Linked DNA regions of Cricetulus griseus. The main gene of each other region encodes a partner of the protein of the gene in region 2 in a complex. Links are inferred from orthologs where the notes say so. Each region holds a gene or a part of one and is shown on either strand. Other genes may lie near its edges. The genes, in order: Adcyap1, Vipr1 and Vip.

What was found.
Region 1: the proteins of Vipr1 (region 2) and Adcyap1 are in contact, whole or in part, in a cryo-EM structure (PDB 8E3Y), measured with the Homo sapiens proteins. The link is inferred for Cricetulus griseus from reciprocal best matches to the Homo sapiens genes VIPR1 and ADCYAP1. Residues at the interface, in NP_004615.2 of Homo sapiens: Glu36, Val40, Ile43, Asn69, Leu70, Ile89, Phe90, Phe93, Ile120, Gly123, Leu124, Lys127, Asp132, Gln135, Thr136, Tyr139, Val142, Lys143, Tyr146, Tyr150, Arg188, Val192, Lys195, Phe200, Glu204, Ser205, Cys208, Phe222, Gln223, Val226; in NP_001093203.1 of Homo sapiens: His132, Ser133, Asp134, Gly135, Ile136, Phe137, Thr138, Asp139, Ser140, Tyr141, Ser142, Arg143, Tyr144, Arg145, Lys146, Gln147, Met148, Ala149, Val150, Lys151, Tyr153, Leu154, Ala155, Val157, Leu158.
Region 3: the proteins of Vipr1 (region 2) and Vip are in contact, whole or in part, in a cryo-EM structure (PDB 8E3Z), measured with the Homo sapiens proteins. The link is inferred for Cricetulus griseus from reciprocal best matches to the Homo sapiens genes VIPR1 and VIP. Residues at the interface, in NP_004615.2 of Homo sapiens: Glu36, Cys37, Val40, Ile43, Asn69, Phe90, Leu92, Phe93, Tyr118, Ile120, Asp125, Asp126, Asp132, Gln135, Thr136, Tyr139, Val142, Lys143, Tyr146, Tyr150, Arg188, Lys195, Phe200, Ser202, Glu204, Ser205, Gln207, Cys208, Met219, Phe222; in NP_003372.1 of Homo sapiens: His125, Ser126, Asp127, Ala128, Val129, Phe130, Thr131, Asp132, Asn133, Tyr134, Thr135, Arg136, Leu137, Arg138, Lys139, Gln140, Met141, Ala142, Val143, Lys144, Lys145, Tyr146, Leu147, Asn148, Ile150, Leu151, Asn152.

Annotation. Positions count from the first base shown.
Region 1 is NC_048595.1:461,366,488-461,373,963, forward strand, and holds Adcyap1 (pituitary adenylate cyclase-activating polypeptide), read right to left. Parts: upstream 4,286-7,476; coding exon 4,176-4,285; intron 2,028-4,175; coding exon 1,896-2,027; intron 1,506-1,895; coding exon 1,407-1,505; intron 363-1,406; coding exon 173-362; downstream 1-172. UniProt on the Homo sapiens protein: PACAP is a neuropeptide involved in diverse array of physiological processes through activating the PACAP subfamily of class B1 G protein-coupled receptors: VIP receptor 1 (VIPR1), VIP receptor 2 (VIPR2), and PACAP type I receptor (ADCYAP1R1).
Region 2 is NC_048597.1:228,641,271-228,648,964, reverse strand, and holds the start of Vipr1 (vasoactive intestinal polypeptide receptor 1), read right to left. Parts: upstream 3,933-7,694; coding exon 3,855-3,932; intron 1-3,854. UniProt on the Homo sapiens protein: G protein-coupled receptor activated by the neuropeptides vasoactive intestinal peptide (VIP) and pituitary adenylate cyclase-activating polypeptide (ADCYAP1/PACAP).
Region 3 is NC_048595.1:283,196,227-283,203,893, forward strand, and holds Vip (VIP peptides), read left to right. Parts: upstream 1-3,061; coding exon 3,062-3,168; intron 3,169-5,006; coding exon 5,007-5,129; intron 5,130-5,939; coding exon 5,940-6,044; intron 6,045-6,391; coding exon 6,392-6,523; intron 6,524-7,304; coding exon 7,305-7,350; downstream 7,351-7,667. UniProt on the Homo sapiens protein: PHM-27 and PHV-42 are two bioactive forms from proteolysis of the same precursor protein, that cause vasodilation. PHM-27 is a potent agonist of the calcitonin receptor CALCR, with similar efficacy as calcitonin.

The DNA.
Region 1 (7,476 bases), on a different chromosome or scaffold from region 2:
GCATTCTCTAGTGCTTCGTAAAAAGAAAAACAATATTATTATCAAAATAGTCATTTAATGGCTTTACTTCATACATAAATACATGTTTGGAAAGAACACATGAGCGATGATTGGTCAGTCAATTTGGAAAACGACTTTTCATTTTATACACACCGTAGCTGGCAACTCATCGCTACAAGTAAGCTATTCGGCGTCCTTTGTTTTTAACCCTTTGTTTATACCTTTTCCCTAGCACAGCCGCCAAGTATTTCTTGACCGCCATTTGTTTTCGGTAGCGGCTGTAGCTATCGGTGAAGATGCCGTCCGAGTGGCGTTTGGTAAGGGGAGCCCGGTCGTCCGCTGCGCTGGCGCCTACGTTCTCGCTGCAAGGAGAGGGGGCGGGGAGAGGGGGCGGGGCGGGAGACCCGTTGAGTGAGTGCGAAGGAAACAAGTGTGCCCCACCCCCACGCTGGAGTCCTCAGAACTCCGAACTTCCCGGCGCTGCCCTCCTCTGCCGGCGCCCCAGCTGGCAGGAATACTGTGCTGGAGACCCCGGGGAACCTCCTTCCCACCCACAGTTTCCTGGCACTAGATCTCTCCCATCTTTCTAGGTATTTCTGAAGCATCCCAGGGCGACCGGAGAATACGCGCTCTTTAATCTTTTCTCCAAACGTTTCTTCTCAAGACTGCACTATCCATGCTGCTAGCTAAATTGTCTGGACTTGTACCTTTCCACCACCCGACATACAAAGGTTCCTAAAGGCCTCGCTGGCTTTTGCCAAGTTAACGATTCCCCAAATCTAGGCAAACACGGGCACGCCTCTCTCTATCTTTGCCTATGTTAACTTGAAAAACGTGACAGTGATTTAAGGCGACAAGCTGTAGGCAATATTTTTCACTGCATGAATTATTCATGTTTAAATGTAATCGGCTTCCCTGTGGGCTTTATTTAAATGTTGCCTTCTGCTGACACAAGCTTCATACAAGACCTTAGCCCTGGGTTTGTCTAGCCCGAGCAAAAACTGTTTCTTTGAAGTATCCAATTCGAGGACTTTGTTCCTTAGGTTGGCCTTTATAGAAAACGTAATGCTCCTCCCCCAAATTAGGGCAAACCTCGAGGGTTTTGAATGACTGGGAAGGGGGTTAACTTGCTTAGCTTGGCTTGGTTCTCGGTTCAATTTCCTACCCTCTTTCTCTCTCACCGGGTCTGTGGCTCTTAGGACAAATTTAAACGCCCAACTTTCAGAACTCCGCCCGAGGCTGGTAATAACCACCTAGATGCCCGGACGCAGACACACCCTCAGGCGCTCAGGCGTGCTGGAGTACAGAAACGTAGAAGCTGCCCCGCCCTCCCTACACGCTCTCAGTACCGTCACCCGCCCTGGCGCACACATCACTCGCTGGTTAACTCTGTCACAAACTCTTACCCTACGCCCCTGGCCACGACCGACTGCAGGTACTTCCGGGCGGACAGCTGGTCCAAGACTTTGCGGTAGGCTTCGTTAAGGATCTCATGGGCGACATCTCTAATGGGGGAGACAAAGTATGCGACCTGGGTCACTCACTGCCTCGGCCCTTCAAATGACAGCCAAGGCACCCACCCAACAACCACTAGTGACACAGGACCTGGGAGTTACTTTGGGAAGCCCCTGGGGGGTGAATCTAAGATGGGGTTTATCCTTGACCTCTGGGGTGACCTCGCTGGCCTGAGAGCTCTCACCAATCGAGTTACACACTCACTGACATCTCTCTTGCCACAGAGCTTTCTGCCCGTGGTGCGGCCTCAGGTTAACAGGAATCTGCCTGCTAATTTTCTGTGGCTCTCATGGATTCACCCAGGTAGAAGGGAGGCTTAAGGACTTTCATGAGAAGTGCCCTAGTTTTAGAGCCACTACCGGGTCCCTCCCGCCACGCACCTCCTGTCCGCTGGATAGTAGAGGGCATAGGCGTCACGCAGAGCGGAGGCGGGACTCCCTACGCCCGGAGGGTCCCAGTCATAGAAGTCCTGCAGAGGGTTTCCGTCCTGGTCGTAAGTCTCATCTTCTGGTCTGCGAGATAGCCAGAAGGAGGGTCATTAAAAGTTCTTTCCCAATTCTACCAGGCACCAAGAAGGTCCCATTGATTTTCCTTCTTCGTTATGGCCCCCCACGGAGAATTATCCTTTCTTCCAGAATGGTCCTAGGAACGAGATAAGGGAACTGCACCCAGCATCATTTCCTTCCCCACAAGGAAATTCGCTCACATCTCCTCAGGTCCCCGGCAAGAGGACTAAACAACCTTGTAGACCCCAATACCTGGCCAAGTGAAAGGTCAGCCCTCTCCCCTCCTGGCTCCCCAGGCTTCCCCCAAGAAGCATTTAGAACGCACGGGAAAGATCCTACGAGTTGATATGAGCAGAGACGGGGAGACTCAGAGCGGAATGAAGTGATGGATGGGTAGGTAGGATGCAGGAGGCCAACTCCGGCAGGAGCCACCCCCATCCAAGCCGCCCAGCCCAGGGGAGCCCTTCCCCGCGCGGATGTAGGTCACAGAGAACCTCCAGCTTCTATTTTAGACTGGAGAGAATCTGCTAGGAACATGAATAATAGATGCCCCTAAACTTAGCTAGTTTGGCTCATTCTGTGGTGCGGCAGAGAGCTCCAGTGCCTATCACCCAGGAAAAGTGCTAGGCACAGGGAACTTTGCGAATAGCCAGAGGTGAAAGAGGGCTTTCCAGTCCATTAAACAAAGAGTTCCTGATGATCCGTTAGCAATGGGGGAGGCTGAATTCCATCTCAACCCCAGAGGAAGGAAAGGGGTCGACTGGGAACTGACATTCCGTAGGTGTCCAGCCATCTTACAGTCTCCTCACCTACCGCCTCCATTCCCGACAGAGGACAGGCAGAAGAGGACAAAAATGCAAAGCCGGTGACTTTTGGACCTTGGGGATATGTGGAATGCAATAGGGACAAATAACATTATTCAGGCAGGGTCCAGTCGTACTTGGGCCGCTCTATCACCTTTCAGCCCTCCCTGGAGAAGCCAGAGTCAGATAAGATCCTCCGCACCGCTCACATCCAGGCTCCCCACATACACACACAACCTATGCCCCCAGACCAAGCCCCGACCAAGCCCCAGACCCAGGATCTTTCTAGCCACCCCCTGCTCTTCCCAGCGCCCACGTGCCAGAATCCTGATGAAGAAGCTAGGATTCCTGTCTGCCAACACATCAATGGGCAGACGCCCCCTAGGGCAGAGGTTCTTGGGCGCGGCTGCAAGAGTAAACTCAACGTCAACGCGAGCGCTCCTGGCTGCCCTCAGTGCCGCCCCGCACCCATCGACGCGGAATCACACATTTCCACTGTCCCGCATAAGGGTGGGGGGGTGGTTCTGAGGCTACGGTAGGGAACCCGGGCAGCGCCTCTTCATTAGAAGCAGATGCCAAGATAAAAACTACGTTTTCTGCATCCTCAAGTGGGCTAGGTTGTCCCCCAACCCCTCCAGCCTGCTGGCTTTTTCTCCTTTCTTCACATCCGTTTATTCCCCCTCCCTCGCTCCTTCTTGTGTTTTCCGTCTATCAAGTAGCTTTTCTTTAACCGTGGCTAGCCGAGACCCCCCTCCCCCCGGCCACACACACACACACACACACACACACACACACACACACACAAGACGTCTAGGGCTCAAACTGTAGTCGAAACAGAATTCATTTGGAAGAGAGCTGTTATGGTTGGAAAAGAATTTATATGAGACAACAGGAAGGGCGGAGGAGATAGAGACCCCGCCCCAATAGTCTAGAATAGGCAGTAACAAAGCAAAGTGGAGAGAGCTTCACTCTCAGCCCCGGGCTTTTCTATGGGAGCTGAAGTTCTCCAACTCGTCCTAAGAATAAATAAAAAGAAGCTGAGCGGAGTAAGGGGCACCCTGCCCCCTCCCTTGGGCAAGTTAGACAAGGAAAGGTTTCTACAAGGGTCGGAAACTCACTCCCTTTACCTGGGTTCCTGGGCTCCACTGGTGAGGAAGGAGGGAGTCTAGCTGTACTAGAGCCTTTCTAACCCCCAGGGTTAGCTAGGGACCTGGTACCTAGCCAAAGGCTGTAGAAATGCCCTGGACACACAGGAAGCGATGCTTAGCAGCCTGCGATCCAGAACTGCAGGGAGGCGACCGGGAGGTGTCTGGCGAAGGGAGGATCTAGCTCAGCCTAGACTTGCACCTACCTGATCCCAGGGAAACGGAGTCCGGCTGCGGCAGGTGAGCAGGAGACGCTGCTATGCATTATTATCCCGTAGACCAGCAAGGCCAGCCTTGCTCCGCTACACATGGTCATTCTGCGCAGGAGAAAAAAGAGGGAACGCAGTGAGTGAAATCGCCCCTGGCTTCCCACCTTCTAACCTCAAGAAACTCTAGGGAGCTGGGGGAGCCAGCAAAGCTGCTGCTCCCTGTATTGAACGCCACTTAGCCACGCTAGTGCGTCTGGCCACTTCTCCCTTGGTATAGTTCGGGAAAAAAAAAAAAAAAAAAAAAAAAAAAAAGCTTATGTGTGCCCAGCACTCAGCAACTAGCCAAACCTTGAACTAAAGAAGGCTAACTCGTACACTGATGCTGCTGCCAGCACGGGGAGGGATCCTGTAGTCAATGAATCGGTTAGTATGGTATGGTGAGAGGTTTTCCCCCTCCCTTACTATTAGACTCTTACCGTGGCTAGGCGAGGGTTGGTTGCCAAGTAGGACGGAGGGCAAAGGGCTCCTTCGAGTTTCCGGGCTGGAATCAAAACTCAAGAGGCATCACTCACTGTCTGGCGCTGGTGTCTGGAGAGAAGCCGCGGGAATTAGCTGGAGGAGCTGGGGGGACTTGTTTGCCGAGGCTAAAATTCCACTCAAAACTTTGTAGACGCACAGAACTAGAAGGGAGCGTGACACTGAAGGAGGTGGGCGAGGAGAGAGATGTAGAAGACAGAGTAGGCGAGCAGCCAAAGGGAGGGGGAGCAGAGTGGCCTTAAATCCGCCTGGGGAAAGAAGCTGGTGGGTAAGAAAAAGGGGGGAAGTCCAGGAAGAAGGGAAGATGGAAAAGGAGAGGGCTAGCCCAGGCTGCCTCTGTGGGAGGCGAATCGGGCAGCTAGCAAGAATCCAAGGCACCTTCTCTGCTCCGAGGTCTTAAGCTGCTGCGTCTGAGGATGCGGCTTCTGCTGCTGCTGACAGAGGTGACCGGCCTTCTGCTCGTATTTATATATTCAGTTAACACAAAAAAAGCTATCCGAATATGGTTTCAAGACACCTCTTTGTCAATATATGTCTTCAATTGCCTTCAAGTACAGAATATTTTGATTGCACTGTTGCGCTCCGATTTTTATTCATGATATGACTTCCTTTTTTTTTTTTTTTTCAGTCACGTAATGATCCGGTATCAGTAAAAGACGTCAGCATCCTAGTCCCTCAAGGAACATATTAACTATTCTGTGCTGTCCTCCAGGATGATAAGATCCGGAGTCATCAGCTTCTCATAAACACCTTTCACTCACACAATCCAATTTTTAAGAAGTCCAATTATCTTGATGGTTTTCTATTTCACCCATTTCTCAAAGTCAAGTAAAGAATTCGTGGAATGTAGGGGATAGTGAAGTCCTGTTTTTATTGTGCCTCTTCTTTTTACTTTTTACTCAAGCCCCTTCGAGGACAACACTGATCTTTAATAAACTCTCTCATTAATAAATTTAATTTAGATCTCTTAATTTCTTGCTTATGCTACTACAGCTAGGCAATTAAATGTGGAAGTCGTTTTGTGTTTTAAAGGGAAGTCTTGAAGGATTTTTCAGTAAATATCTAATGAGTCTGGATGTGTTGACTGTCTGTCTCTGAGTGGATTGACCAGACAGACAAGGCTGCCTTGAGAGCAGAGCCTGTGGCGCTGTCCAGGCTCTGAGTGCTGAACTGTTGGGCGCAGATGCTACAAACGTTAAAAATTGCCACTGGCTTAATTTTCACCACAGCCTCTAAATCTGAAGGTTTGGCAGTGGTGCTCTTACTGTGGCAATTCATTGTCGAAATCACCCCGCTGTTCAGATCCATCTCCCCTTGCATCCTGTGTCCACAAATGCCCCAGTGTTCAGAACCTTCTTAATCCTTGCCTTAGATTTCAACGCAGAGCTTTTTCTTCTTAGTCCTGGTAGTTGAATATCTACCTTCCTTGTTTGCACTCTTTGACAGTCTTTGTGGCTCTTACTGATTTTAAAAATTGAAGCCATGGCATCGTGTTTTCTGCAATAATTGAAATTTAAGAATGTGAGAGTGAGAAATGTGTCTTACACTTCTCTTACAAGTTGAATTCTGTTTATGGAAATACAGGCTGGGAATGCAGGAGGATTCCTAGCACAGGTTATCCTGGTGAAGGTTACTACCAGGAACTGTTCCCTGGGAATAGTTAATATTTTTAACTAAAACTAAAATGAGAAGAATGCAATAAGGAAAAACCACATCCACCGGGAAACTTCTGAGCCCCTGCATAAGATTCATAAATTTCTGGTCCACTAAGAGACCTTGAGTGTCTTTCTTTTTAAAAGGAAATAGAAGCATCAGTAACAATTAGTGTATATTTTAACTATTTGGATCTATACACACACAAAAATAGAGGAAATTACAATTAAGTGGGAGTGCTTCCTGTTACTGTTATTTGGGGCTAGTGCTTAAATAAGCTGTTAGTTCTGCATACTTTTTCAGAAGCATAGTGTTTTAATGCTATTCCCACTTTCTGAGATTTAATTCTTCCTCCAAGAATCAAACCTTTCCTTATTTCCTTGCTATGAATGATCCAAAGCTGTCTGTTTCCTCTTAGTTTCCTTCTAGCTTTAGAATGACTACTTTCAACAAACTACTTCTACATGGGGGACATTTCTTTCTTGATGTTTCTCTGTGTATTATATCTGTCTGCTGGAGTGTCTACGTGCCTGTATTATGTGCTTAGTGGCTACTTTCCCCAGCCCTCACACAAAGAGCCTGCAGTGAATAAGAAGGATAATCCAGCAGAGTTGCCTTTCTTAACAAACTTGCCCAAAGCTATTGCCTACAGTGGCTTTCCTGACTTCCTTCTTTCTGAAAGTAAAAGGTGAACCCTATTAAAAGCCTCACTTTTGCCTCCCACTTGAATTCTGAAATGAGTTCAATCTGGAAAAAATATTTTAAAATCTCCAAGACTATTTGTTTAAAATTCACCACTCAATGCCCAACTTTAGCCAAGAGAGCCACCGTGTGGGGAATTTTGTTGATTTCATGATCTGTTAAGGGAGGAAACCACAAACAGGAAAAAATAAGCAAGCCTTCAAGAGTGCCAGCTTGCTTCCAGCTCACTGGAGTTATGCCAATCTTGCTCACTGGACCTAGGTGCCCTCAGAGGTTACTCAGGGTCCAACACCCCAAAATCACATGAGTTGAGGCCTATTCCACTCACTAGAGTGAAAAACACAGCAGCGAATTTGAGATTCTTAGTGGATGAACTTTAGTGACCTTGTCTTTCTGGGTGCCATCT
Region 2 (7,694 bases):
TTTCAACATTGGATACGAGGGAAGGTAAGCATGCCCGTCCTCTGAGGAGGGACCAGAGTGTCGTACAGGAAAATGGCCTTTGATTTTAGAGATGCCTTTGGAACCAGGGCTAGTGGCCAATATTCCTCTAATTGACTTAAATACACTTTAGCCAAAATAAACAGGTGATGTAAAAATTAAACATTGAAGTTACCCGATGTCAAACCTAGGGAATATTTGTATGTTCATCATATTATCCTTTTATGAAGATTTTTTATTTTTTATGTGTATGTGTATGTATCTTAGAATTTGTATGTCTATCACACACCTAAACAAGGAGGCCACAAGAGGGTACTGGATGCCCTGGGACTGGAGTTATGGGTGGTTGTGAGTGTGCTCTGCAGAGCAGTGTGTTGTTCTTAGCCACAGAGCCATTTCTCCAGTCCCTTATTGTGCTATGCTTACTTGTTTATTGACCTGATGCGAGTTCTCATCGAGGGGCCCAGGCTGGTCTTGAACTCAGCCTCCTGAGTGCTGGAATTACAGGCACGAGCCACCACTCACAGCTTTATCATAATATTCTTTCTACTTGTTTATGTTTGAAACATTTTTACAGTAAAGAAACCTATTCATGTGGTGGAAACGTTGAACTTTTCTTCAAAGCACTGCTGAGAAGCAGGAGAGATTTTGCTATGCATTGAGGCTCTCCTGCATACAATGTTGGGAATCCAAATGGGAAGGCAAAGTGTGAGACGCTGAGAAAAGGCCACAGCTCACATTAGCCCCCAGCCTTCAACCCTCACCTGTGCCCAAGCAGCCACAGTGAAGGGGTTGGTAATGGCAGGACAGTGCCCGGGTAGAAGATCTGCTCTGGTATAATAACACAAATCGAATTGCCATCAAGGCTTCCCTCACTGGGATGTGTCCTGCCAACTACTGCCCGGCCTCCTCTAAGAGGCCCTGTCACCTCATTAAGACACCTCATGAGAACACCCCGCCCACTCCATGGATCTTGCCTGCCCTGGCTGGATAAAGGTCCAAGCTCAAGGATCAAGGAGCAGGGATGACCTGTCATGTGGGTCACACAACAACTCACTACCTTTTCTTCCTTCAGGGTTCACACAGGGCTGTCTGGACACCCAGCCCTGCCTCGTGTGGGACCTAGGGTTCAGAGTAGAAAGTGGGGCTAGCTCTGCCCTCCCAATTCTCCTTCACACTGGGCCCAGGGTTCTCTCATCCAGTCAGAAATGGGGAAAACAGGTTCTTCTATAGAGGTTAGAGATGTTTTCCAAGCCAACTAGGCATGGCTGTGGGGTAGGACAGGGTTTAAGGCTCCAGTCCTAAGCTGTGACCCCAATGCAAGCTGCAGAAGCCTCAGAGGAGGCTAGGCCTCCAGAGTCTAGGAGGGGGAGGCATAAACCTCTAGAGGCTTCTGTCTTTCAGGGAGGCCCTGGGAGTCCTGAACAGGAATAACTAAGGTTGTCTCTAGTCCAGAAAGTAGCCTGGCCCAGTAGCCACCATATTTCCTAAAGTTCAGTGAGGTCTGCTGAGGCCAGAGGCCTGGGCAGTAGTGAGAGGACCCTGGAAAGGTTCATAGTAGTGGCCAGGAAGGACTCCTCCAGTGAGGTGTGACCCTCAGAAGCAGGACTTCCACCTGTCTGGGGATACTCAGAGGAGCCAGCCTTGCCCTTCATCCCAGCCATCCAGGTTCTAAGGGGACCCAGGGACTGGGCTTCTCTCCACCTTCTGGGGCCAGGCTAGCAAAGGCTGTTTTCACAGTTTACAGTTGAGGGTTGGCCAATGTAGCCAAACTTCATTTTTCTTCCAAGGGGGTCTGTCTGTCTGTCTGTCTGTCTGTCTGTCTGTCTGTCTGCTGTCACAGCAGCCCCGTCCCTCAGTTCTTAGAGGCTGTGCCCCACATCCATTCGAAGTCACTGGCTGTGCTGTGCTCCTGCAGCGGAAACTCTTAAGGACCTCAGACTGTCTCTAGTCTGAGTGTCCCCACCAGCTTGGCACTGTGCATCTGTCTGCTGCCCTGGGGGACAGGAGCTACGGGAGACCTTGGGACATACTTTACTTCCTTCTCTGGGACACCGGGCACCAGAGGGTTTCTTTTCTTTTTCCTTTCCTTTTTTTTTTTTTTTTTTTTTTTTTTTTTTTTGGCTTCCCTGTTCAAAGATTTCCCTTCCCAGGCCAAGGCAGGGCCCCATAAACAGAGCGATAAGGCTCTGTGCCTTCAATGTGAACTCTGCAGCTGCCATTTTATGGCTCTGATAACATGTCCCCCCCAAGTCCGGCTGGAGCAGGAACACTGGGTGTCCGTTCCAGGAGGGAGCAAGTAAGGATGGCAAGGCAAGAACAGGGACCCTCCTCCAGGCCAGGCGGAGTCCCTTCCCCTTCTTTTGTGGGCCGGGCCCTGAACTGGACCAAGCAGACAGTAAGTCTGACTCCACATGAGGGGCAGAGCAGCTCAGACGGGACGGGTAGTGGAACGGAAGGATGGGGTCAGAGTGGGAGATCTGAAGCAGTCAGGAAGAGGAAACCAGAAGTGGTGCTGAATGAATAAGACCCGGGAAGACAAGAAGAAGGGATTGGAGGGGCTGGGCTCAAGCTATGTCCAGATGGAGGGCACCTGGAGACCTCCAGTTGTGCAAAGACCCCAAAATGAACCTGAGTAGCTGGGACCCGGAGTTGGGAGAGCTGGAGAGTTGCTGCTATGTGGCCTGAAGACTGTGACGTGAAGAGACAGAGTTAGACGGAGTGTGGAGTGTGAGGAGGTGGGACTCTGAACTAGAGGAGGGGGCAGTTCTCAGAGGGCTGCACCTTCACCAGAGGATGAGCCCTCCCAGGTGAGGGTGTGCCAGACACCAGCTAGGTGGACACAGATTCACCTCCCAATTCCTGCTCTGGCGCAGGCGATGATAAGGGGAGGTAACCGTGGAGAGAACCCACTAGGTGACCAAGATTCCCCGCCCTCCTCCAGACAGCCTGCTGTTTCCACCAGAAAACACCTGGGAAAAGACTGTCTTGAAGCAGCAGACCCACAGGCCAGGAGCAAAGGGAGGAAGACGATCACCTCTACCCAAGTACGGCTGGCGAGGACAGGTGTGGCTCCTGTGGCCTCATTTGCCCTTCTGTAAAATGGGCAGACCTAGTCTTGAGATCCTCCTTACTCTCAGAGAAGGCCACCCAGCCGCATCTGCCCCACAGGCCTGGCGATCCATCCACAGCCACAGGATCACACCCACACACATACCGGTGTGCGAGGAAGAAGAGGTCGGAGGCAGAGCAAGGGCCCCTGCTTTCCCCAGCACATGCCAGTCCCTGCCACCAACTCTGACCTTTCTCTGCCCACCATCCTATAGTTAGAGGAGGCAGAGCACAGGGGACAGTCCTGTCACCCATAAGATACCAACGACCCCTTCCCAGGCCACAGGCATGAACGCTGCATCTGCTGCTAGCGGAGGTCTTCATATCCCACAAGTTCACATAATGCCCAGAGACGCTTGCAGACCCTCACAGCCTCCTTTCCACCTCACAGTCTACCGGATCTCCCATCTCACCAGGTCCTGCCACCCCCAGCTCTCCTCCCCACGCACCCCCACAGATACTCCTCGCAACGCCAGGCTGGGGCTCCCTCTCGCCCTCAACCTCTCCACCGCTGCCTGAGATCGCCCCGAGGTGAGCCCTCTAGGCTGTGCTGGGAGGGACCCGGTGCCATCGAGCTCCCACGCCTCTGGGCTAGACTCGGTCCCGGGTGGAGAGAGAAGATGAGAACCGCGCTCCTGCTGCCCCCCGATGGCCAGATGGCCCCAGATCCTCCGCCCCCGCAGCTCCCTCATTCCGGGGATCCGGGTGGAGGGGCGCACACTCACCGCGGGTCCCAGGGCGCAGGCGAGGGCTCCTGCCAGCAGGCAGAGCCAGCGGGCAGGCGGTGCGCTCGAAGGGCGCATGGTCCGCCCTGAGCCCGCCGCAGGCGGCCGCCGCGGTTGCGGGGTCTGCGGCTGCTGCAGCTCGGCAGAGAGGCGCGGGCCGGCGGCCCCCGCGCTGAGAGGCGCAGCTCCGGCCTGGAGAGGGCGGCGGGGGCTCGTCTGACGGGCAGCGGGGTCGCCCAATGGCGCGGCGGAGGCGGGGCCTCGGCGCAGGTAGGGGGCGGAGCCTGGGCGCCCGGGGGCGTGAGCGCGGAGTCCGCTAGCGGTGTGCGTCGTCGGGAGCCTCAGCTGGCGTCGTCCTAGCGGCTCCGCACCGCTCGGCGTTCCCGCGCCCGCACCTGCTCTCCCCGCCCAGGCCGCGCCCCCGGCCCTCGGTCCCCGGCAGCGCGCCCCTCCGGCCGTCCGCTCCAGGGGGACGGGGACCGGGTGGGTGGAGAGGAGCGGCCGCCTCCTTGGTTCCCACGCCGCGCGCAGCCCAGATTGCTGGACCAGAAGGGTCCGCCGCTTTCCGGGGCTCCAGACTGGGTTCCAACGGGGTCCCGCGGATCGCGCTGCCGGAGCCGTCTGTGGCCGGGGAGAAGCCGAGGGGAGCGCAGCCGGAGCCGGGAGCCCTGACCCGGGGTTCCTCCAGGCCGCTCTAGGGCCTTCGCAGGGCGCACTCAGAGATGGACGCGTCTCGGCCCGCGCAGCTTGCGAGGGACGCGGAGTCAACGCGCCAGCGCCACGGCGCGGGGACCGAAGCTGTACCTGTTCGCGGGCCCGGGCTGCCCGCAGACCCTTCCTCCCAGAGTCTGAGGTCCCCAGGAACCAGGAGCAGGGAGCGGTGCCCCGCGCTGCGGCTCCAAGATCGCGCCGGCCGGCCAGCCGGGACTGCGCTGCCTCCTACGCTTGTCTTTGGGACTCGGTTTACTGTGCGCTGGCGTGGGGCGCGGAGTCACCCGCTCAGAGCTCTCTGCGCGCCACTTATTAGGGAACCAGGGCAGATGCCTGCCCCGTCTTTCCGAGAGCTCGGGCGGTCCCAGTGAGAAGGTGATGTGGGGGGCTGACGGCGCGACGGGACAGAAGGAGGGAGGAGGGCCCGGGTGCGGTGCAGACACGGAGAGAGCCTCGTGTCCCTGCGCGCCAGTGCAGTGTGCGATCCTCTGGAGGAGGTCCGTCTCCAGGCGCTTTCTGGCCAGCAGGGGCGCGGGAATCTCCCCGAGGACTCTCTGGCCTTCCCAACCTGCAACGTGGGAAACTAGGGCTGTGGGCGTGGCCTTGAGGACGGTTACAGAAAAGTCTGGAAGCGACCCCTGGCCTTCCTCCATTTCTGTTGGCTGGGTGGAGCTTTCTACCCCCCCCCCACCTCATCCCCTACATCAGTGCACCGCACCTTCCTTGCTCTCTCTGCCCCGAACTTTATTAGTCTCGGATTCTCAGCCAGGCCTCCTACACACATCAGGGCATGGAGGTAAATGGATACCGGGGGCGCTCCCTGCCGTTTCTACTTCCTTATAGAGATTGGGCTAACTGGACACAGGCCTTTCTCCAGAGGTGGGGATGTCAGAGGAGGGAGCTGTTCAGTAGTTGCCCTCCAATGTGTCAGCATCGGGACAGGACTTCGGGAGCCACCGTGAGCTCAGGACCCATGGTTTGCCTCTCCTTGTGGCCCTCGGTGCTGTCCTCTCAGGCCTTAGGCAGTGGGGTCTTACGTTAAACCCATGGGCTTTGGCTCTCGACTCTGCCCACACCCACATGTCACCTAGGCAGCTGCAGAATGCTGAGACCCCATCAGCAAATGCGGCGTGGTGGCACATGCCTGTGACCCCAGATCTCTGGGGGCCAAGGGAAAAGGATTGCAGCGGGTTTCAGGCCAGCCTGCAAAATGTTGCACTATTTCACCGTAAGGGACTGTTAGCATTTACTTGCTCTCTCTGCACAAGGATCTTGGGAGGGGGGCTTTAGGGAACACGGAGGGGAGTGGGGACTGGAGGGTGGGAGGGAGCTAGACTCCCATTTTGCCCTGTGACCCTCACTAGGTGGGTGGAAGGCTGCCCTGACCACACTGATCCCTCTGAGGCTGGGGGTTGCAGGCCTGGTGTCTTCCCAGCCCAACCCCCAGGAGAGGAAGGCGGCTCCTTCCAATTCTCTTGCCATGAAAGCCACTCTTGGTTCGTTCTGTATTCTTCCTCGAGAAATCCATCCTTCCTTACCATTGTAGGACACAAGACACATTCAGAAATTAAAAGATCAGGAAAACAGCAAACAAACAAACAAAAACCAGGGCCTTAATAACTCAACTTAGGCTACTCCTGGCTCCCAAACCCTGTGTCCTGAGACACTGGGAGATCAACCATGAGCCTACTCTTGGGGAGCCCTGTGGAATCTGAAGAGGACACCTGTTGTTTACCTAGGCAATAGGAAAGGCTTCAGGAGGGAAGAAATGTCAGAAGCTGGGGTGGAGGCAGGTGGGCTTCCTGAGGCTGAGGGGGCAGGCACCTGAGCCTGAGGAGATGGCACCTATGGCAGTGGGTGTAGTCACCTTCCCCACCATGTCTTGAGATCCTTCTTGAGTCCCTGTACTTATTGTTTGCCTTTGCTTCATTAATCTAGGTTGGAACAGTTGCACAGCAGAGTCTGAACCACAGTCTGTTCCCATTCCCGAAGCTCCTCTTGCTAGTCGGATCTGTTCTGGATCCTTGCAACCTGTTCCCAGATTTTGGCTCAGCCCCTTACCTACCTCCCTTCTCGTTGCCAGAATCACCAGGGTGCAGCAAATTCAGGGGGTGGAGGAGAAGGGAGACAGTCACTTGCCATTCCCCGTGACAACGAGCTCAGCAGAAAGAATCTTCAGTTACTCATCTGCGCTTGTCTGGCTTCCAGCCCGATGCATCCCTGTGGCGTGTGCCACCCGCGCCTCCCCAGGCCCGCAGCCACCTCTCAGATGCCTTAGTCAGCACCTTGCCTTGCGCTGTGGCTGATGAGTCAATGGTAAGGAGGCTCTGGTGAATGACAAGGGCAGCTTCGAAGCATGGAGCGTCCTCCACCTGCACAACGGGGGCTAAGTCAAGGCCAGTGACAAACGCAGCCTGGGTAGCCGCCGCCTGGGTAGCCGCCGCCGTTCCAGGGCTCACCAGCTCATCCACCCACATTGCCGTCTGAATGAAGGCAACTTTACCTTCCCTGAGCTTCCAAGCTGAAGGGACCAACAGCTTCATGTCTGTCTCACTGGAGGGTGCTGGCGGCTGTTCCCGCCCCCTCGGTGTGCCCCGTCTTTGGGGGTTGGGCATTGCTGAGCACCAGTGCACTTCAACTGCTTGCGAAGCTCAGGGAGGCATGAGCAGGCATTTAAAGGATATCCCTGTGTGTCTTCTGTAACAGCATGCTCATCCATCCATTCATTCATTCATTCATTCATTTGTTCATTCGCCCATTCACTCATTCATTCATTCATTCATTCACTCAAGTCTCTCATGTGTCACCATGTCTGGCCCTGTGAGGAGGCTAGGCTTGACACTGAGGGAAACATGGATGGTGCCTTTCCAGGCCCTAGCGTGGCTTGAGCAGAGGACAGGAATCTTGAAGAGGCCCTGCAGCCCTCCCTGGGAGCAAAGCTCATGGAACTCGGGGTAGGGGAGCCTTGTAATAACTGTTGGTGTAGCAGCGAAGTCTAGGGCCCAGTCCTGAAATGGTCACCCTTGATCCTGAAGGCTGGGGCTTAGAGCTCTGGGGAGGGCCGGCACCATCCCTCCTGTGATCTCGGGTGTGGAGGGAGGGAATACTGAGAGGGATGCTCGAGAACGG
Region 3 (7,667 bases), on a different chromosome or scaffold from region 2:
TGTTTTAAATGATTTTGTCCTGTTTAAATTTGTAGCCCAAACTAATTCTTTGATTTAGTCTATTTTCCTCCATAGGTGAGGCAATTAAATTCTCTTTATTATCTTGTTTTATTGTGGTGATGGGAGAAACCGTCTTCATTATTGCAGAAATATATCATGGTTACTCTTCATGAATGCTTCTTAGACCAAGTGGTGAGCAATCTTGATGTCATTTTTCTGCTTATCATTCAGGATCGATTCCTCTGTGATCCCTAATCTACTTATTTTGCCTGTGCAGCTTTTAAATGAAATTGTTTCACTGAGGATTTGGTGACAATGAGCTCAGAATAAAAAATTCCATATGAAACCATTTTAACCTCTAGTTTGTAACAATTGGGAAAAAAAAAAAAAAAAAAGGTTTCCTGGAATTAAGCCACAGGAACTCTGGCTTAAGTCAGAGCTGTCAACTGGAAAACAAAATTCCAGACATTTTGAAATTTAATTCATTTAATTTTTCTTGTAACTGGATTAGAAAATATGATTAAGCCTAGCAAGACAACTCTCACTGCATCAGTCAGCCTTGAATGCTGCAAGGAGATACTAAAATCATAGAGTAGAAGAAAGTAAAGGAGATTGAGAGCTATATTTCCCCAAGGAAAATACAAAAGGAATGTAATAGAAGGCACACACCAGGACTTTTAAAAGATAGGACATTGTCTTTGTTTTCTGTGACACTCTTAGGATAGCTGCATTTTGACGTTAAGTCCCAATTAAATGTATGTCAGGCTACTTTGGGTGCAAAGTCAAGAAAAAGAAATTAAGCAGTCATCACAGAACTCTACAAAGGTTTCAAACCAGCTGATTTTTTGGAATTACCTTTATGTAAAGTGACAAAGTCAGGGATGTTAAATCCTGAAGTAGGGAGAATTCTGAGGGCAGTGCGAGAAACAAAGGAATTCAACATTACGCAAAGACTTAAAATGAGGAGGATACCTTTGAAGAGAAAGAAAACTTCAATCCCTGGAGTATACAGTCTGATCACTATTTATCCTTGGAACATCTGATATAAGATGTGAAGGAAAGCAGTGGGAATTACAGTGTTTTATACAAAGCATGGGAGAGCGATAATGCCATTGATTAGACAATGATTTGCATACTATACCATCTTAATGTAATGGAGCTTTTTCTGAGGGCTAGCTTCAACATAAAGGAAATGTAATAACAGAAAGATGCAAAATAATTTGTGGTTGCTTTTAAAATTAGAATATTCTTCAAGAAAACATTCTGATGTGCACAAAGATGAAAAGGCATTAAGAGAATTGACACTTTGCAAAAAAAGGAAGGATTATACTGTAAGCATAGCAAATACAAGTGTTTGTTTTCTGCATTTTTTTTCTACAAGCAGTCCTTATTTTCTAAGGAACCCCCAAGGCCTTGGGCTATGGCAGTATAATCACCCTCTAATTCTTGACAACTGAGTAAAGATTAAAGCATTGCACATCCAGCTCGGCACTTTTTGTTTAAAAAAAGTACATTTCCTGTATCTTGAACTTCTTTGCTATAAATGTATATAAATCAGGCATGATGACAATTTAATAAGAACTTCAAGACCTGTTCATCCCATGGGATCACCACTGTGACGTCTTTCGGGCAGCCTTCTGATTGCTCAGCCCTAAGCAAGAGCCCTATAAAATGAGGGACTTTGAAATGCTGGTCAGGTTGGAGTGCAGAGCCCTAGCTGGCAACAGCCACCCATTCCACAGGACCGGGCAGACTGGTGGAGCCTTCTCCCAGCCAGATCTTCAGCACCCTAGACAGCTCCCACTCTCCCCAAAGACAGTCCTGCCTGAAGGGTAAGTAAAATCTTCCGTTTCTTCATTTCCTCTCTGTCTTTGGGACTTTTATAGGAGGGTTTTTTCCTCTCTCTCTTAAAAAGAATTTTACAGTATTCATTTTTTTCAATAGAAAAATGAAATGATAATGATAAGACACTCGATAAAGGTAGAAATACCTCAATTTCTTTCATCTGAACCCATCTGTTTAGAAGATTCTTAGTCCTACCTAACCTTTGTTAAATATTGCCTCTTTTAAAGTGAAGGAAGATGAATTTGCTTGTGTGTGGAGTTTTAACCAAAGGGTTCAGTTGTTGCATTTGTTTTTGAGGTTTTCAACTTATGCTTAAAGTGCTTTTTCATTCTGTTTCTTGTGTTGATTAGACCTGGGAGGAACTCACTTTCTTCATCATTTACATTTTAAAAGCTGTGACTTTTATAGTTATTGAAAGTCAGAATCCTTGAACACCTGTATGCTAGTTAGAAAGTGTTTAGAAATACAATGTGTGAATGTATGGAATGCAAGACTCATAGGCTCTACACACACACACACACACACACACACACACTATTTTCTGAGAAAACTTGTACCAACACCAAATGGCTCTGAGGGCATTAGCTTTCATCCTTGAGTTCATTTTCTTGAGCCTTAGCTTAAAGAAGAAAGTTCTCCATGATATCTATAATGAATGCAGGGAAAAAAAGAATTTAACTATAATATGTATACAAGATTTTTGCCTTAATGATGCATATCTATACTTTATATCCATATATGCACATATGAACATGCAAACTTGCCAATGTAGTTGACTAGAAATCATTGCATGGGTAGCACTCAAGTTTTATAGTAATCAGACATTAAAGTTTAAAGGGGAAAAAATTCCTTGAAGCTCTTTCCTTCACCAGAAAAGACACCAGATTGTATATTACAACTGTGTTATCAAAACACTGGGTCTGTAGTTAGTTATGTGCAGCACAACAGGAGTGTAGTCTCAAACAGACACTAACTGTGACTGAGTGCCTGCTGAGAGAAAGACAAAGGGGATCTTAGTTTGTATTCAAATGTCTTAACTCAAGGGAAATCTTTATTTTTAAAAGTAATCTTACAACAATAAGCTTAATACTTTTCTGAAGATGAAATGGCTTTTTCTCAACTCTGCAAGAGCCTTCAGAAGTATTGATAGACCCTCAGAATGTTGCCAAGTGTAGCTGGGAAAGCCAGTATCCCTTCTCTTTCCAGAGGCACCGAGATGGAAGCCAGAAGCAAGCCCCAGTTCTTGGCATTCTTGATGCTCTTCAGTGTGCTGTTCTCTCAGTCACTGGCCTGGCCTCTCTTTGGACCACCCTCTGCTGTAAGGTAAGTCTCATTCTGAGAAAGTGCACTCTCAATTCAGATAGGCAGGCATTTCCTCTGTATCTAAATGAGATTTCCCACATGTCATTTTGGAGAGTGGTGCATTTTAAATTACATATTATTTTACTTTGATCACCGTGTTACACAGATTCATTTCCAACCAAACTTAAAAGGTTTGTTCTGGGCTCCAGAATTCACCTTCAGTATATGGAAGACAACATCAGCCTTGCCCACCAGATAGACCCCATTTCCAAACTAGTGTTAGAAAACAAACAAATTCCTATGCTTTTTTCAATCTCAGGCCAGTTCTGTTTCTGGTAGAAAAATAGTTGTTTACTTGCCAGCTTCATTTAAATTGATATTTAATAAAAATGACAATAAGATTAATAGTTCATTAATGAGATATGCACACCTGAAATTTTCTTGGGCAGAAATAGGTCCAGGAAGAACCACCTTGCCACTATTAGAGATCATGAGAAAGTATATGAACTAAACTACAGTCCTCATAGTATTCTCTATTCAAACTATGAGTTCTTAGTTTTACTATTTGATATATAGAAGGTCATGCTTCACATTCATAAGGAATGCAACTCAATTTAACCTAAAGAAAAACAGATTTATGTTACTAGTCATTTCATACTTGACATTTCTAATCTACAGAGTCACTGTTATCTAAAGGCAAATCACCATTTGGTTATTTGCTCCATCTTATGCTCAGTATAGTGAATAGTCTCTCAGCTATTAATGTTCTCTGAGAAATTGTAAAACACACTGCCCACGCCCCACCCCCCAATCACGATTTGGAAACTAGAGTCCCAATGCCCAGATCTCAGCAGATGAACAGTCTCAGGAATGCTGAAATTCACACTGACTTCTCAACCCCAGGCTATGAGATGATTGTTTTTTACTATCTGCTTCAGCACCACCCAGAGATACAAAAGTGCCCAAGAGCTGAGATTTACCCTAATTTTGAACACACATATATACTCTCTCTCTCTCTCTCTCTCTCTCTCTCTCTCTCTCTCTCTCTCTCTCTCTCTCACACACACACACACACACACACACACACACACACACACTCTCACACACACATTTTTAATACAGTACTGGTATCAAAAATACAGATGCATCCACAAGTAGTTTATATTCTATATGTCATAAAGGTGATTCTTATTTTGTAGTACAGCATAATACATTTCTAATCAGAATATGCTAACATGTGTAATATGAAGAACTAGAGGGACTCATTAAATTTGCTACATTGTAATAACCACTCACAAATGTGGAGATCTTTAGGTGTGATCAATAAGGAGAAATATATCTTGCTGACATAAAGCTTTGTGGTACATGTCAGGGAACCAGAGAGAGGAAAGCAGCTTATAAGCTACTCCTGGCCTGAATTTGAGCAATTGGTACTAAATATCACCACTTATATGAATAAGTATCAGTTATCATGTTGAATGTTCACTTTTTATATGTTTATATCTTGTATAATGCTTTCTACCTGCTAGTGTTACTTCACAAATGGACATAGTCAGGTATGCTGATGCAATCAATGTGCTTTGCTTACAGCTTCACTAGAATTGAATAAAGTAGAAATTATGTTTGGTTTTAAAAGCTTATCGAAGTTGAATGACATCAATTTTGTGAGCTCACCCAAATTACTACTTATATCTTCATTAAACATGGAAGCTATGGAGTCAAATTATCCTATTCTTATTCTTGCAAATGGATACTATGTCCCAATATCTTCTTCTCCTGTCTCAAATAGTTGCAGGACCATAAACACCACTTTCTAAGAAAGGATGGTATTGCATTTCTAGTGTGTTTTGCCTTAATAGGTTGGATGACAGGGTGCCGTTTGAAGGAGCAAGTGACCCTGATCAAGTGTCATTAAAAGCAGACACTGACATCTTACAGAATGCCCTAGCGGAAAATGACACACCCTATTACGATGTATCCAGGTAAGTTCACTCTTATGTATCTATTTCAGAAACACATGTGAAAAAGATTAAATAGTCTAGTTTTATCTTACCAAGAGACAGTTTTCCATGACTCTGCTCAGCCTGATTGGCATAAATTGCCTTACAGCCTTCAGGCATCATTCAATAGCTCAGATTAGACAAATGCCAGGTCAAACTCCCACAGCTAGGATTCCATGAGTGAACAAATAAAAGGGGTCAAGATATCCAATAGTGCTGTTCACTCATGCAACTTCTTGTCTAGAGCAGTGTCTCAGAACAGACCACAAACGACGTCACACTGAAGGCAAGGTATAAAAGGTTCCTCTTGTGCTTACAAGATTCACTGGTAGACCCAAGGTTTGCTCTGTTGCAAGAGATTTGTTTCCTCATTATTTTTGGTGGCAAAGAATAATTAAAACACAGAATACTGGCGAGTTTGACCAAATTTACATGGTTTTTTTTTCATTGTATATATTTTTATTTAAGGTAGCAGCTTCTAAAACTCCATAAAAATATAGAAACCATAAATGAATTTTAAAGCAAGGTTTACTAGGAAAATTCATTTTAAATATCCTGTCAGGGAATAAAACTGAAGCACATATCTAAAATAGCTCATTTTTTTTCAAGGTAGCTAGAAGCTTATAGTTTATATCTTGCTCCAAGCAACTAGGAACTTCCTTTTGCTATGGTGCTAGACTTCATTTTTGACTTAAGTTTTAGTAAGCATTTCTGTAAGTAGTTTTCAGATTCCTTTGATAACTCTGCAGGAGATTTTACCAAGCAATTATTGTGCTTGCTTCCTTGCTTTAGAAATGCCAGGCATGCTGATGGAGTTTTCACCAGCGACTACAGTAGACTTCTGGGTCAGATTTCTGCCAAAAAATACCTTGAGTCACTCATTGGAAAACGAATCAGGTAAAGAGTACTTATTATTTTTTAATAAATGCTCCATCTCCAAATTCTGTTTTCCTTTCTTGAATGTTATTTTCCTTGCCCAAGGCTGAAACTCTTTGATTACAATCAACTTATTTAGAGAAAATAATGTATGTTATTAAATAAAACACACCAGCCCCCACCCCACTCCCCAGTGAAATAGAGTTTTTGGTACTTATGGACTCTAAATGTATTTTTCTTAAGACGCATATTTACAAATGAGTCAAACTGAGCTAAAATCAGTAAAAAAAAAAAAAAAAAAAGAGCATTGATGCATCTCCTACTTTCTATTGACATCTTTACTTTCATTTTTTCTCACTTTTTTTTAGCAGTAACATCTCGGAAGACCCAGTGCCAATCAAACGACACTCGGATGCAGTCTTCACGGATAACTACACCCGTCTTAGAAAGCAAATGGCTGTAAAGAAATACTTGAATTCCATTCTGAATGGAAAGAGAAGGTAAGGGAAAAGATAACCGGATGAAGTGAAAATATGTAAATGACCTTCAAACTTTAAGCTCTACTTGGAGACATCTCACTTTCTCCATCACATGGTCTACTTTGTGTGAACTGCTCACTCATTCTCGACTCAAACTGATGTCATACTTCCCTGGCAAACCTTTAAAATACGGGCACATGAATGTTAGCCTACAGCCATTAGAAAGCAGTCTCCCTGGGAATACTGACCTGGAAACTCCATTTGAATTTATAAGTCAACAGGGTTGAAAATGATGGCTATTTTGTCATCGGGGGCAGTTTAATCAAATGTTCGCTTTTAAAATATGGAAAGTACAATTAACAATTTTGGCAAGCAGGAGAACCCTATCATATTTGATCCAACAACCCTGCTTTATCACATTTAACCAGGATGTATCTCCTGTTCCAGTTCTAAAAGCATGTGTCTTATAGTGTGTAAATATTGGACACAGTAATAAGGGGTAGAATGCTCTCTCTTCTCATTCCAGTTGTTTTTGTGCGCATGGTATTAAGCATAATTCTGTTCGGGTGAAATCAGACAAGAGTATCCTCTCTGCCCAATAAATGATAATTCCATAAGGCTGATTTGAGACACTAAGGTCTTGGAACAATTCACAGGCAATCATCAGCTGCAGAGATCAATGTTTATCCCCAGTGTGTCTTGCAGAGCCTAGATAATTACATAGGCATGGTGTTATAATTGTTTCTTTGGAACCTTCCTCAGAGAAGAATGTTAACACATTCATTTTCCTTCTGGTCTGTAGCAGTGAGGGAGACTCTCCAGACTTCCCTGAAGAGCTAGAAATATGAAGACTAGGCTCCTCTGAGCAGAGCTGAAGATCAGAGGTGAGTGCGCCTACGGATTCTTATGGTATCCTTACAGCTACCTTGAAGAATAGATGCAGGAAGGAGCCAGTAGGCAAAAACATCCTAAGGCTGAAAGTCCTTCTACCCAGAGATATTATCCAGTCCACATAACACCTCTACTTGAGGCAGATCCCACCCCAGTGAACACCTTGAGGTGACACATGCACCATTCTCATCATGACGAGGACACTGGTCACCATAAGGAGTTTGGCCTCTACAAGGTACTTCTAGTTTAGTCACCTTTCTCCCATGTGTGTGAT